2 linked regions of the Drosophila melanogaster genome follow. The protein of the gene in region 2 interacts with the protein of the main gene of each other region in a pairwise test. Each region holds a gene or a part of one and is shown on either strand. Other genes may lie near its edges.

Evidence for each region.
Region 1: the proteins of spin (region 2) and CG9133 interact in a two-hybrid assay, tested with the Drosophila melanogaster proteins (one large-scale study listed by BioGRID).

Annotation. Positions count from the first base shown.
Region 1 is NT_037436.4:1,250,161-1,258,030, reverse strand, and holds CG9133 (uncharacterized protein), read right to left. Parts: upstream 6,020-7,870; 5' UTR 5,865-6,019; coding exon of another isoform or gene 4,799-5,864; intron 4,728-4,798; coding exon of another isoform or gene 4,308-4,727; intron 4,179-4,307; exon of another isoform or gene 4,038-4,178; intron 3,956-4,037; coding exon of another isoform or gene 3,888-3,955; 5' UTR 3,807-3,887; coding exon 3,707-3,806; exon of another isoform or gene 3,665-3,706; coding exon of another isoform or gene 3,634-3,664; coding exon 2,987-3,633; intron 2,544-2,986; coding exon 2,292-2,543; 3' UTR 2,045-2,291; downstream 1-2,044. Other genes in the region: tfc (triforce), read right to left, coding at 671-869; CG9130 (uncharacterized protein), read right to left, coding at 3,888-3,955, 4,308-4,727, 4,799-5,864; Bfc (booster for Crq), read right to left, coding at 6,399-7,154.
Region 2 is NT_033778.4:16,122,965-16,130,907, reverse strand, and holds the start of spin (spinster), read right to left. Parts: upstream 5,928-7,943; 5' UTR 5,532-5,927; coding exon 5,126-5,531; intron 1-5,125. Other genes in the region: CG30095 (uncharacterized protein), read right to left, coding at 6,331-6,593, 6,656-6,823, 7,211-7,424. UniProt on the Drosophila melanogaster protein: Probable sphingolipid transporter that plays a central role in endosomes and/or lysosomes storage. Involved in TGF-beta-mediated synaptic growth regulation both pre- and postsynaptically via its function in endosomal storage regulation.

The DNA.
Region 1 (7,870 bases), on a different chromosome or scaffold from region 2:
ATATATTTAAAATTAGTAGATAGATTAAGCCGGTGCAAAAGTTGGACTCCGGAGTGAATCTATTTGATTGGGATTCGCTGCTCAGCAGTCATATGCTTATGAATTCTAAAATATTTAAATGCCAAATGGTGCAGGGGAAACACAATTAGCATTTTAATAACAGCCAGTACGTTTTTGGCCGAAATCTGCTTTTTTTTTGTTGTACTACATATGTGAAAATCGCACGATGAGCTAGCGAATTTTAAGTATTATGCAGAAAAAGTAGCGATAAATGTGTGGAGATATTTTATGCAAATCCGATTCTCTTTCATTATGAATTCTATTATGATCTGTACTATTAATAACAAATAACTCGATTTGAAAGATTTTCAAAATAAACCTTGGCGAATGCATTTTTGCATAGAACTTCATATGTTACTTATGTTTTTAATCGCGTGATTGACGGGGCATTCCTTAAGCGCAGAACCCTTGAAATGCCCACCAACATCGACCACATTAGGAAAAGGCTCGATTCAAAGCAGTGCGGCCAAGAGCAATCGTTAGTATTTGCGAACCAATCGAGAGGGCCCCTCGAAGATGTCCATCACAGAGACCGAGAGGCTCCGACCCTGACACGGATGGCCACAATGGGGGCACTTGGAAAAGTGGCTCAAAGGGGCCAAGTACTTACCTCTCTTATCACGGCCATTTCCGCCTCCACTCCGGCTAATGTTGCTGCTGCTGCTGATGTGATTGTTTTGGCCGAGTTGGAAGCCGTGGGGCACCTGGCTGATGGGCTCGGCCACCGGGATGGTGGTCACGGGTGAGTTGTGGCCGGAATCGACACTGGCCAGTGAGATGAGCACTACGATAAGTGTGGGGCGGATCATGATCACCGATTTGCACTCTTCACGCGAATCTTAGACACCAGTAAAAGTTGCAACTGCACTTGGCGGAGACCTCTCGGATGCACGTAACCGAAAACCGGGGAAAGCCAGTCGGCTGTGGTATGCTATAACCTGCGATCTCGAGCTGGAACTGAAAGCCAACTGACCGTCGGAGGTTGGACTTTCGGGTGTCTCTAGATCGGGGGCCTATTTGGTATGCAGCTTCGCTTTCTAAATTATCAAAGTTTTGGGGAAATGTTGTGGTATCTCTCGGATTTAGTTTTTAATATTCAAATACTATGCTTTTCTCCGCCCAACTGTCAACGCTGGATGGGGCGGGTTGAGTCTCTAAACGAGGGCCATTAATTTGCGCCCTCGAATTCGGACTGGGAGCCCGGTGTTCGTCCGATGCCTGGTCGTGGAGGCGAACGCGGATTAAGTAATCGCCCAAATCTACTCCACTCAATTCACTTTCTTTCCGCTTTCGCGGCGAGAGGCAGAAATTGAATTGGATCGAGCGAACTGGAGCGGATGGTCTCTCCTCACTGGTTTTGTGGTCTGTCGTGGACCGATCTCAGAAGTTGCTCACATTCGGGGCCGATCCGCTGAATGGTTAACATCTAGGCTGGGGCACTGCTTCACGATTTCTCGACTCTTTCCTGCGTTCGCACTCGCCGTGTTAACTTACAGACTAAAGCGTTTGAACGCGACTAAAACGAGTTCCTCGCTCGACTCCTCTCCGAGCCACCGATCGGATCGGTCAGCTGGCCCGATCTGCGATCTCTGGTCTCTCGGATCTCTCCCTCTCCGTATAGTATAGTCACTGCAAAGTGACCAAACCGCTAAGCTGCCGCTGCATCCAACGGCGGCTTTTCCTCCTCCTCGATGCTCCCTCCCGCGAAGATTTCTGGCTTTTAATTACAGGTGTGCAATAGATGAAGATGGTCGGATCGGATCGGATCGGCATCAGAGTTCTGCATCGCGAATTGGTTTTGTCGGCTATTTTTAGACCCGCCTCAATTGCAGATGAAACACCTCCGCGGCCTTGACTGGGCAGTTAAGTGCCCTTAATGAAGATGGGCATATACACTTGCAAGCAGATTACTGCGGGTTAGGGTATCTACATCAGATCAATCAGTGAGGGATCAGATCAACTAATCATAAATGGGACTAGAATTATTGTTTTTTTTTTTCTTAATTTTAATTCAATCAAAAGCATACATTTACGTAACTAGTCGAAAAAGTGAGTGTTCGTGCATCTTACTGGACGGGTTAATATGAATGGGTTAGTACCAGAGCCAAATTTCAATAATTGCTGCTGTGAATTTTCAAAGAGTCGCTTCCAAAATGCCAAAGGATGTGTTCCGAAAGGGTAAGCGTCAAGTCCGGTCGATGGGAATGGGATCCGCCTACGGATCTCTTGGTCTACTTCTTCTTCTTGCCCTTGCCCTTCTTGCCCTTGCCCTTCTTGCCCTTCTTCCCCTTCTTGCCACCGGTTAGCATCTCCTCGGAAACATAGGTCTCCGTGGTCACCTTGCTGATCGGAAGGGTTACGGGCTGCTTGGGCGTCCGCAGCTCGATCTCGATGGTATTCTTCTTGTGCTGCGACTTGGCCTTACTTCCCAGTTTTACTAGGAACACGTCGCTGTCGGTCTCCTCGCAGGTCTTGTAGCAAACCTGAAAAATAAGAAAAGCGACAAATCTTTTTAGATACTATGCAACAGCTAACCAAAATAGTCTCAATGCAACGCGTTGCATCTTTCGCAGAAATTACCATAAATAAAAAAGCTGTAGCGGATTGCCACCGCAAACTGAAAAGAGTGCTCCACACTTGGAGCTGGCAGATGTTACGCAACTGCCCCACAATTGAGGCAATCGAAAGCCTTCCCGAAGTGGCAGAAGTGGCATAGTTGCACCACCTGCAACAACGTTTAGGGGGGCAAAGTCACGGACTACCAATCGATCCACATTCCGCATCCGCACACGTAACTGGCGAACTTAAAAAATGGAATGCGGAGGCGATCGGCGATTGTGGTTAATGATTTAAGATCGAACATTCTTGAAATATGGATTTCCTTAGGCCACTCAGTGCTGCGCAAATGAATATAGGATGGACTCACCTCGATACCCTTGCGCCTTGTGTCCAAATTGACACCCTTCATGGTGTCCATGATGTCCTTCCGCTCGACCTGCATGCAACATGATCGCTGGTTCTGGACGGGACAGTGCGCGGGCACGATGGGATCGGATCCGCCGCAGAGTCGCTGGCGGTAGCAGTCGACCTTGGCCTCCTGGAAGTCGCAGGCCTCCTTGATCTTCGAGAAGGGCACGTAGTAGTTGTCGGTCTCGCAGGCATCGTTCCCAGAGTACTTGATATTGGCTCGCACCTTGGGGATGTTCGGGTGGTTGATGATGCGGCCGCCGGTCCGGCGCTTGATGTGGTTGCGAGCGAAGGAGCTGCGCTGGAGCATATCGTGCAGGCAGGACTCCTTTGCGGGCTCGCAGTCATTGGGGTCATCGCGATAGCAGGGATCATCGCCTGCGCCCAGATTGGGCGCAGTCTCGCTGCCATCCATCACGCTCTCCACCTTGTGGGTGTTCTTGAGTACGCGTATGGTCAGACCGCTGCCATTGAGGCAGGCCTCGAACTCGTCGTACGCCTCCGGACCCGGATCCGGCTTGGTCGGCTGGATGAAGCAGGGAGCCAACTCCGGACTGCAGTCGCAATCGCAGGCGCACTGACAGCAGCCATCACAGTCGTCCACATCTGAGGATACCAATTGGAAGGGATGAATCATCCTTAAGCCCGAGCTTCGGTGCAGGGATCCGCGTGTACTTACTCTCGTTCATGGGCTTGAGCATCTCATTGGTGATCTTGAACTTGCAGTCGACCTTTGGCTTCTTGCCCTTCTTGCCCTTTCTTCCCCTCTTCTTGGCCATGTTGTGCGGTTGAGTGATTGAGTGTGTAAGTCAATACAATTATTCACTAGGCTCAAGCTGAAATCTCAATTCCGAAAGCCTTCAATTCTCAATTTGGATATTGTACTTCACCAGTAAGTGGCGCAATTTCCGCACAGCTCGTTTTCGCGCTGAAATGAAAATTGAATTTGGGTTAGTGGATCGCTTCGAAAATTTTTTAACTTGATAGGAAAAAAAATAGTTCGGACGTACTGATTCTCTGTTTTAATTTCCATCCAAAACTCGGGTAACAACAACGAAAGATTTTATTTTTCTGTATTTTGTGCGGCAGACAACATTTCCCGTTCGAATGTATAAAACAAATGCTAAACGAGTGATCTTCTACACCCCGACTACTAGATGTTACTAAATGTTTCGCTGGAGTTACGAGACGTTTGTGTTGTTGTTCATTTCGAAGCCTACTTGGCATTCTCGAAATCCCAGTTGAAATCGTTTTCTAAATACATACATATATGAGCTCACCTTCATCACAGGCCATTTCGTACTCCTCCTCCCGTCCGTTGCACCTGACAGTGGGCTCCTTGTACCGAATTTTCTTGGTCGCCTGGAGGACTCCTGCGCAGACAGGATCGCAGTCTTCGTAGACGGCGGACGGACTATTCTCGTCTCCTACGCGGCAAACAGCACCTCCAGCCTGACGCTTCTTCTTGCCCTTGTCGTCCTTGCCACCCTTTCCATCCTTTGCGTCCTTTCCATCCTTGCCACCCTTTTTGCCATCCTTGTCCTTCTTGGGATCCTTTTCCGGTTTGTTCAAGAGCTCGGCCTGCATCTTCTCCTGGATGAAGCGTGGGTACGGTGGAATTCCGCCGCAGGGACCGCATTTCTGCAGCTTTTGTTCGATCGGCGAGAGATTGCAACGCTTTGTGGGAACAGTGGGGCATTCTGGGAAGAAGTATATACATTACATCATTAAAAGGAAGCATTTATATATGCTGATGATAGATTATAGTCACCTCTATCGAACTCGTCCTCGCAGTAGTCACAGGGACAGAGCTTGTCCAGATTGCACGAGTAGTACCTGAGGCACTTTGCCGGAGGCTCAACTCGCTTGGCACAAGGATCCACCATTGTACAGCGACGACAAGGAGGCTGGGCACACGAGCCCTTGCAGCCCTTCTTATCCATGGGCCCGCCGGTGGCAGTTCCGCCGCCACAGCAGGGACTGCAGGGATCGCACGGATCGCAGGGGTCGCAGGGTGGAGGACATGGTGGGCCACAGCTAGGAGGCGGTGGGCACGAGCCGCAGCTGGGAGGTGGTGGGCAGGGGCCGCAGGGACCACAGGGGCCACAAGGACCGCAGCAGGGCTCCGGGCACTTGGGATTGCGGGAGCAGACCTTGCTGAAGGGGAACGTGGACACAATGGTCGGACCATTGCACACCAATCTAAGGATCAGCACTATGTTGCCAGTCTGCATCTTGCAGAGATTGAAGAGGGGCAGCAGTCGCTTGGACAACTCCGATGTGGGACACCACTGCTCGTGACGTTCGTTCAGCTTCTCGTAGCAGGCACAGTTGTCCAGGAGGCCCTTGCTGGTGGGACCCTTCATCTTGGGCAGCTGGGCGATGTGCCCCAGCATGGCGTCTTCCCAGTCAGGATTCTCGATGTCAAAGGACTCCTTCACCCTGTCGAAGATGGGCTTCACCTTTAGCTCCGACAGTCCTATCAGGAACTTGCAGCTCTCCGTGCGCTTCTTATAGACATGCACCTGCAGCACATCCTTGTCCGTAATGGGGGAGTCCAGAGTGAAGAGGGCGCACTTGCCGCACTTGGGCGAACAGGGGTTAACACACGTGCCCACCTCCCGATCGCAGAGATTCACGTAAACCGACGAGCGGAACGTGATCTCTGTGCAGGTTGGATACTCCTCCGGAGCGCAAAGATTCTGGCGTGTGATCAGCAGATCGTCCACTACGAACTCGAACATGTAGAGGAAGTTTCCTGCAATCTTGGGAGGTTTCTCTGGCTTCTCAGACTTATCGGATTTCTCAGTTTTCTCAGTTTTATCAGACTTGTCCATTTTCAAAGGAAATAATTTTGGCTAGGCTTTTGTTTTGTCGAAACTAGAAATTTATATGCCCGAACACTCGCACTTCCAAAAATTTTGTGAGTAAATTTGAATTTAGATTCTGATTTTGAATGGCCGTCCAGACGGGGAGACTGTGGTGTTCGAACTGCTAAACCGACTGGATTTGCGAGGGCTACTGGAATCGGATGAATTTTGAAAACTTGATTCCTTGATTTTCGATATTAAGATTGTCTTTTAGGCAGATGAGTCTGTCTGTATGTAGATTTTATTACGCCTAAAATGCCTAGTAAGGTCTTATTTCTAACATATATATAAATTTTAATATTAAATTATATTATAATGGACAATAGCCTCCTCAAGTCACTGAAACACCAGAATTGGTATAAAAATTATTCAAATACTTTATTTATAGTTAAGATATGCGAATGATTATCAGTTGCTAGGCGCATCCCTTGTCAAACAATAAAAATGCTTATGGCAACTAAATGAGTACGGAATATAAAGGCTCGCAGCTGCATTTCCTACTCATGTCTTCTTGGCTGGCACGGTCTTGCAAGGATCGCAGGGATCGAATGGCGACGAACAGGGAGCAGGCCAAGTGGGCGGGCAAGGACAGCAACAGTTGCAGGGATCCTTGCACACTGGTCTCTGGACGGGGAAGGAGGATACCACAGAGGGCCCATTGCACACCAGTCTCAGGATCAGCACTATATTGCCCGTCTGCATTTTGCAGAGGTTGAAGAGCGGCAGCATCCGCTTGGTCAGCTCTGAGGTGGGACACCACTGTTCGCGCCGCTCCCTATTCCTCTCGTAGCACACACAGTCATTGGCCTTCTTGCAGGGGCCCCTCAGCTTGGGCATTCGCGACAAATGGGACTCGACGTTACTCTCCCAGTTTATGTTCTGTGAATAGAACTCCTTCTTCACCCTATCGAAGATCGGCTTCATCGGCAGCTCGGTCAGCCCGAGCAGGAACTTGCAGCTCTCCGTGCGCTTCTTGTAAACGTGAATGTGCATCACGTCCTCGTCCGTGATCGGCGATTCCAGCGTGAAGAGGGTGCACTTGCCGCACTTGGGCGAACAGGGGTTGACACAGCTTCCGTTCTCCCGATCGCGGATGTTCAGGAAAACCGAACGGAACGTGATCTCCGTGCAAGTGGGATACTCCTCCGGAGCGCAGAGGTTGGGACGAGTGATCAGCAGATCGTCCACCATGAACTCCAACATATACAGGAAGTTATCAGCAAGATTAGAGCGTTTCTCCGACTTGTCCATTCTCATATAAAAGCTTAAAAACTAGAAATTTGACAAAATTACTATACCAAAGAATTTGTTATGTGTTGAAAACGTTTTTAGAAATTTTCAGTCACTGAAACCTAATTTTGACGAAAAATAAATATGTTGAATTTTGAATTCAGATTTTGACGACGTGCCGAAAAGGAAAGACTGATTTTCGAAATGGATCTATGCGACTGAATGTAAAAGGCCTGCCTACGATTCAAAATATATAAATAAAAAGCTAAGAGCTCTGCATTCCTACTAAAATATCAACAATGACATTCTTTATATGATTAACACCCTCTGGGTAACCTGTACTCTTAACCTTTACTGGCCATCTTTTATGGTTGTCATAAACGCCATATACCCATATCATTAATTACATTTCACCTCCACAAGTAGATAGAAAGACGCCGGTCTGAGGTTTTCTAGCAATGCGTAAAATACTTTATTTAATGTCATTAAATGGTTCTACAAAAGTGATTGATCTACATTGCAGTTAATCGCAGTTAATAAGCGGCGCCTTCACAACTCCACTTCTTCCCGATCGAAACCCCAATCATTCCCCTTTTCCAGCCGCCTGAAGCTCGCCTAAGTGTAAGTGATCTGTGTATATAATGACTAACAAGTTGCAGAAGGGAATGGACTGGGGGGGGCTTTAAGACTAAACAAAAACAGAATAAAACAAAACAGAAATTGAGAGGAAGTCGAATCGATTA
Region 2 (7,943 bases):
CTCGAATAGTAAGTACTGATAAGATCCGCAACTTTTTATCAGCTGAAGGATAGCTTTTCAATTGGTAACAATCGAAGTGTTGAAATATCGAAATATCATTATCTTACTAGTTATTTCGTAGCTCCGATAATCAATGTATCGATCTGATGAAAATCTGTGTCATGATTTGAATATCGATCGCTGCGATCACCTTCGCACACATTTTCTCAGCTGTGTGGTCATGTATTTCCTGCACGTCTCGTCTTCAGCTTTGCGACGTTTAAAAATTCATTAACAAACGGATGTGCAACTAGCGAATTAATTGACAAACGACCTTCGTCAATAACTGTTAGCCGATCTAACGCTACTTCCTACATTCTACATGCAGCTCAAAATAAAAACAAAAACCGCTATTAAGCTCCGTATTTCTATGCGTCTCTCTTCGTACATTGGCCTTTGCGGAATGGCCAAAATAAAATAACTACCTAAAGTGCTTGAGTACCCAAAAATAAACAACGGCCCACAAAATCAAGTGGGCGATGGGAGAGAGTGAGAGTGGGGAAGAGAAGGAGAGAGAGAGTGTCTGAGATCAGAAGCCGGCAAATGCAGCAGCAACAACAATGACACACAGAAAGCTCAACAAGTTGTGCCCCAAAGAAGGAGAGCGAGCGAACGAAAAAGAGAGCCGCAAAGAGACCTCAAGAGAGAGAGAGAGCCGAAGCTCCACGAACCCCCGCGAACCGAAGCGAAACGTGGCACGAAGCAGCCAAGTTGCAGTGAATCAGCCTTTGCTTTTTAATTATTCCATTTTCTGGGTCTTTTCGCTCATTTCGATTTGAGAAATTTATCGTACGATGTTTTTCGACCAATCAGCGTGTTTGTTTGCCTTGCCTAGTGACGTAACGGTTGGGGGACGCCACGCGATAAGTCTGTGTGCGTGTGTGTGTGTACTGCATTGCGATTGTGGACTGAGAGTGGCTGGCGGAGAGAGGCGGAGGGGGGACACAGTGGGGCTGGTCTGGGTGAGGCATTCCTTATGATATATACATATGTATATTTATATTATTGCTATCTCGCACACTTAACGAGTAATCTCATTCCACGCAAGGAATTCCTAATGTTTATGGGCACTTCTTGGCCAAAAACAAAAGAAGTCAAAGGAATACGTAGATACATACATACCTCCCTCTCATTACCATTTTCCCCACTTTTGGGGAAGTTTCGTCAATGTATTTAGTATTAGTATTCTTTTTTAGCCGGCTGCCGCATTTTTAGAACCTGTTTATCTCTCTGGCCAAATTCTCTCTTTGGTTTGTTCTCTCTTGTGCCCAATAAACGCGACAGTGGGATTCGCAATGCTAGGTTTTATTACAAATAATATTTGGACTTCCCCAAAGGTGGAACTTTCTGGAAACCAGACAATGACTAGTGGTATTTACTAAAAGACTCTGAAATGTATGTACGTTTATCTCAAAATAATTTCTATTACTTGAGCAGTACAAATTCCAGAAGTCGAAATTTTGAAGTGTTTTATTTTTCCAATTTCAACGAAGCTTATTACTATAAAAATGCACTGTACTGTGGCCAGAGAAATCTGTAGAACGTTGATCCGTTTAAAAAGCCAATATTTATAACCAGGCAACTGCAGAAGCCACAACAACAAAGCCGGGACTCTCATTACCATGAATGAATGAAAAAGTTGTTTGCGTCCGAAAGTGACTGTTCTCAGTCACTCTCTCCCTCTCTTTCGGCACAACAGCAGTCTATCTCCCTCTGACCCCCCATGTTCTGTGGCGTCTGATGACGTCGGCCTTGAAAAATCGCGCGATATGCAGCGTAAGCTTTAAAATCGGACGATGAATAAACGACGAATTTCTGACAGATATTTCGGCCACGAGTCGAAGTCAAAACCCAAAAAAAAACGAAAACCAAAAAGATAAAAACTCACTGAGGCTGTGACTTTCGCTTGGAATGCATTTGAATGCTTAGCGGAGCACTCGAATTGTGTTTAGAGAAAAACTTTCTTGCTTTCTTTTCGGCGGGCCAGGTGGAAATTAATTGTGAAAGCGGCGGCGCCCACAGAAAAGTGTTCCCCAACCATCGCGTTCCAGACATTCCCTACCCCAACCTTTTTTCTACTATTCTTCGGATAGTTTTTTTGCCTTTCGTTAATTGAATTTGTTGCGGCAAAAAGTGTGCACTGCACTTTGCGTAGGTCGTTGACCCAAAAAACGTATCTTGAATGCAGAATAGAACCATTGACGTTGAATGAGCGCGCAAGCCTCAAACAAAAATGCAAAATACGCTAAGGAAATGTGCATTTGTTACATCCACGCGTTTTGTGTAACCAAAGAACCTATTCAAATTTGAGGCATACGTAAGTAAACTATCCACAAGTTTGTGCCATATTTAGAAATATCGTTTGGACAAATGTTTATGCAATGGAATTGATTCAGTAAATTTCAGTGTGAGTAATTTCACTCAGTTGGTGGTTATTTTCCAAGGGTATTGACAATTTCGGTTTGTCAAGGCTGCATATTTTATATTTTCTTTTCATTGTTATTTCTTTCCCCAACTGCGATGGCAACAAAATGGAAAGTTTTTATGTATCTTTCGCAGAAAAAAAAACATTTAAAGCGAATATATAAAAAACCGAACTCAGTGACTTTTGGGTTTAAACAAATGCAAAATATGCAAAACAAACGTTGAAAAATGGCAAAAAAAAAGTAAAAGTGATTGCAAAAGACTTGAAAATAACTAAAAACAGATATATGTATGCCACCGAAATCTCAACTCGATCAATTGACATAGACAATTATTGTGATCGCTTGCTTTGGATGGGGGCCAAGAAAATTACGTCGGAAGCATAGCAGAACGGCAACTTGGTCTATATATCTCAGCCCACATATCTGTTGACCAAAATAAATGCCAGTTCTTTTTGCGATGATCAAAGTTCGCTGTCGGTGCAGAAATTGAATTTACTGTCAACAACAGAATAGCCCCGCCCCCCCCTTCCCATCCACCCTCACACAGATCACGATCATGAATGAAGAGGGGGGCTTCCCAGTGTTTTTTTTTTTTTTTTGACCGAACGAGGTGGTTACAAAACATCACACCACTACCGTCAGTCGGTCGGTTTTAGCTTAAAAAACCAGGCGAATTTCAGCAAAGTCGGAGGTCGAAGCCAAAGGCCGAGACGCACTTAAAATTATAATTAAATGCATTCCATTAGGTTGGGCAGACATCAGCTGATACACACGTCTATGTGCGCCAAATAAATATATGCATATGTATGCATGTATTTTTGCTTGTTATATACAACCACACGGAAACGTTGCAAATGCCGAAATTCACATTAAATACAAAAGGGCCAAGCAATCAGAGCAGTCAGTTAGCAGAAGCTAAACAAATAATCGCTTGGTAATCTAATCACTGCAAAAAAGTGACCCAAAACACCACGTGCACTGCAGCTGGTGATCCAATGCAATTGATTATGCAGCGCGTCTGGTTTCAGCCACTTCTTGATAAGGCCCAAAAAAGTGGGGGGGGGGTTGATAATGATAACAATGCCACTGGCAGAAATGGCAAAACAAAAACCTTGTGCGACCGACCATTGTTTATATGAGTTTTCTATTTCGCCTTGCGCTCGCAGAATTCTCAAAATAAACAATCAATTAGGCGCCCATGGAAATAATGAAAATTTCCGAGTGGCGAGTAGCGATGTGTGTTTATATTAAATATAATATGTAAACAGCGATTTTGTTTGGCTCGGTATGTAAGTGCTATCGCCCCTTTTCGGTGAGTAATTCCACTTCCTGTTCTGTTGCAAAAAGTCGTATGATGTTTTTTTAGTCACTCGATCCGGTGGCTTTACACGAATCAAAAGCTTATGATTTGCAACCGAAAAAAAAGGGTTGTAAGATCGATTTCCAATTGCCGCTGCGGCAATCAACTGATAACTAATAGCCAGTGATTTATAATTGCAAATTAATTGCAACTACACATACAGTAAAAGACGTTATCACATGGCCTTGAGTGGAAAAGTTCTGCTGACTCAGGAAGAACTGGCTGTTCAGGTTCACGAAGAAAATGCGAAACTATAGCTATAATATACACATATTTAGAAATGCATATTAAACGGTCGTCTGAGGCGGACTTGTACGTATAATAATCAGTCACAACTTGTTTCGCCATGTAACCTGAAACAAGTTTCCAATCGATTTGCACCGCGTTTTGTGTAACTAAGATGTCGCCAGTCGAAGTGCAAGTGCAATCGGTAGTAGTCTCATTTTCCAGACACAAGTAAACAGTGAAAAGAACTTCGGCACTCAACAAGTGTCCAATGAAATGCCGCCCGCATGAATTAAGATCAATTTCCTTCGCTAATGTTCTTAATAATAATAAACTCAACAATTATGTGGGCAGTGTGTCTGTATTTATCGACTGAAACATGAGATTACCCTGTAATTGTCACGCGGGCGGGGGACTTTCTGATCGCCGATCGCAACTACCATTACCCGCCGTGCTAAGCAGGTCAGGTGCCGCCACCGCCGTGCTCACTCACTCCATTTTATCGCACCTGAGTGCTAGAAATAATATACATATGTTTAGGTTTAGGCGAAATGGGTCTTGATTGATTGCCCACCCAGTGGAAATGTCCCGAGTTTCGGTGCAAAGCGAATCGAATGATAAAATGCTCTGTATGAATATTTTTGGATCGCGTGATTCACTTGTAAGTAGATTAGTCACTAATCAAATTCTCTCGCTCGCAATCTTTATGGTACATTTTGTAAACAATGGGAACGCGACGACTCGCATTGTCGACGATGAGGTATAAATTTCAACTGATTAGGTCACAAGTATTGTTGATTAGCGGCTGCTAATTAATAACATTATGATTTTGTCAGCAGATTTTGTGCAATTTAAATGTTTTTATTATTCTTTTGCCTGATATATAAATGAATACATACTATAAGTGCTTTGGGCTGCCCAATCTTTTGGTCACACAAAAGTTGTGATTTTTACAGCGGTCTATAGCAATCTTCTTCAATAGTGTCAACAAATTTTCCTATCTACTGCGGCAACAAGCCCCCCAAAAAACGTATGGAATCCCATAGGACACCCAAAGAGGTATCACCGGACTCACCTGCGATCGTAAAGCGATCCATGTAGTTGATGAGGTTGACGAAGCATAGCACGGTAACGGTGAACCACTGCGATCTGCCCACGCTGGAGAGACGCGATGGCACGACGGCGGATGGTGGTATGCCCGGGATGTGGTGGTGCTCGCCCAGTGGGTGGTGGTGATGGTGGTGGGGACGCAGTCGGTGCCGCTCCTCCTCCATGCTGTCCGTATCCGAGGGCATCAATTGCTGTGACGAGTAGGTCGTAGGCAGTCCGAGCGGCGATAGATTGGCCACATCCTCACGACTCCCGCCCTCCTCAGAGGAGCTGCTCCCACTGCTACCGCTGCTCTGGATCATCGCCGGATTGTCCATGGCGGCCGCCGTTGGGAGCGGTTGGTAGGATTGCTTCTGGTGTTTCAGCGACATTCACCCGATCACTCGATCCTCTCTTCTCTTCTCGCGCTCTCGCTGTCCTCTTTCGGTTGGAAATTCGCAGCAGGCGGACAACGCGGCAAAAAGTTATTTGCACACGCTCTTTGCTCACGCACACAGAGAAACGGGAACTCGCGATGAAAGCGGTTCAAAAGCGAATGCAAAAGAATTTGCTCTTGGGCTGTTGGCACACCACCGCGCTTCTCTTTTATAACACTTTTGCCAATTTGTATGGCTAATTCGACTGTGTACTGAGACACTTCCTCTAATCGCGGTTGTTCTTTAAATGCAGCCAATGCATTTGCAGTGCTTCTCGCTGTTTTTCTTTCTTGTTTCTTCCGCGACGCGAACACTGTTGCCTTTCCAACTGGAGTAAGTGCAATAAGTGTGACCGTCCGGCGACCGCGAATATATACCAGAATCCAATTGGCGATGACAATTTCGATAGTACTATCGATAAACTAAGACCAGCTGCATATCTATCGACTAATATCGGTATAGCTATGCCTATCGATAAAAAACATTTAAAGCAATTTTTAATAAATATTTTTACATTTAATACAAAAACATGAACAAGAATCTATATTAACAAGCTAAGTTGCGCTCTGTTAATTAAAGAATTTTTATTTTGCCATAATATTCTGAGCATTACAGATAGTGTACCACTTATCTCTAGAAAACTGTTGACAACCGAATTTGAATTCAAATTTAAGCGATGATTTTTTGGTTATGATTGTGATGATTAAAATCTAAGTGCGTTACGAAGGTATATGCGAATGAAAAAGAACGATTTCTATTCAATATCCATATCATCTACGCGCCCGCGAACGCGATTCTTGCGCTTGTGTTTTTTAGTGGGCGGTGGCAGGAAACTCTCAAGAAACTCAATGGTATTCAAAATCGTTTCCGAACTGACGTTTCCAATGTAGTTCTTGTCGAAGTAGACGACCGGTACAGGTGGCTCCGTTGAGAGCAACAATTTGTCACAATTACAACGCTGTCCCTGAATTTTTGCATCGAGCGTTTCCACTTCAACATCTGTGTTATTTGATTTGTCTGGAAAGAGGTGCCTAAATAGGTCAATCTATGTCTGAACTCCATAAAGAGTTGCCACCCACCGAATAAGGGACGAAAGCACTCCTTCACCTGAATCCACTTGGTGCAAAACTGTTTGATGAAACTGTCGTTCTGATTGAAGAAACTGCGAGCTGCATTGTCAACCCGGTATTTCATGAATCCAGGCACATATGGCCATTTGCCCTTCGCGGCATAAAAGCATATGATGTCTGAAATGTAAAAATTTAAGCGATTTGTAATTCTGCTAGCCTTAATAAAAGTATTCATATGCTTGAGGAGATAAAAATTTAAATATTTTAGTTGCTAAAGAAGTTTATTCATTGTTTCCTTGCGACATATGATAAATTGTGAAAAAGTATAGCATACTTTTAGGCTTAGCCGTATTCGTCTCTTAAAATGATTTCAATGCGTTGTGGATGTCTTTTAAACTGAAAAGAACTATTGTAAATTGGGAAGATATCACACAGAAACCTATGTTCTAATCCTTGTTCAAAATACAGAGATCTTGATCTAGAACATTCTAGTTAAATGTGGAAAAACTATGGCCCATTCTTGTATATAACACTTTCGATTGCGAAATAGATTGCTTAACTTACAGGGCACATGGAAGAGATGAAGAAAAGTGCGCTGATGCTCCAGACTGGAGATGAGATGAATACCGCTGGACCGCCGATTGGCCAGGGCCTTTCTTCCGGCAAAGGGAATCTCATCCACGCGGACACTCTTCAGATATGCCTCGCCCATGGTGAATAGAAATATGGCTAAAAATAGGGGCAGAATATGCAGAGCGATTTTCCGACGCAGCTCCATTGTCGAACTTTCCACTAGCCAGCAATAAATGTGACTGACGAATGTCCTGCAGGAATTGTCAGACACCTGAATGATTTCACTGCGCTCTCTATTGATTTTAATTGTGCTCGAGGTTGACATAAATCCAGGCAATAGGGATACATTGCATGTGCTAACCCAATTTGCCAGCCACAAAAAGTTCATTGCACTCAAAGTTACATTTGTGGAATATACATGACAACAAACATCATACATACAACAAAAATTAAGTCACAGGAAATGCAGTATGCAAATCATGAGTCATTAGCTAATATTTATATTACTCAATATAGACGAGATAATAATCAGCAGTCACCTGTCAGAACAATTCACTCCGATCTATGAATAATCAATTGATTTACAATTGCAATCCATCTGAGCGAGGAAGAACTACTGAACTATTACGAACACATTTCTCATTGCCGCCACGCGGCGTATACTTAATTTGCTAAACCTGCTTTTATGGCACGCTTTTTCCCACTCAAAACATTTTTCGAATGC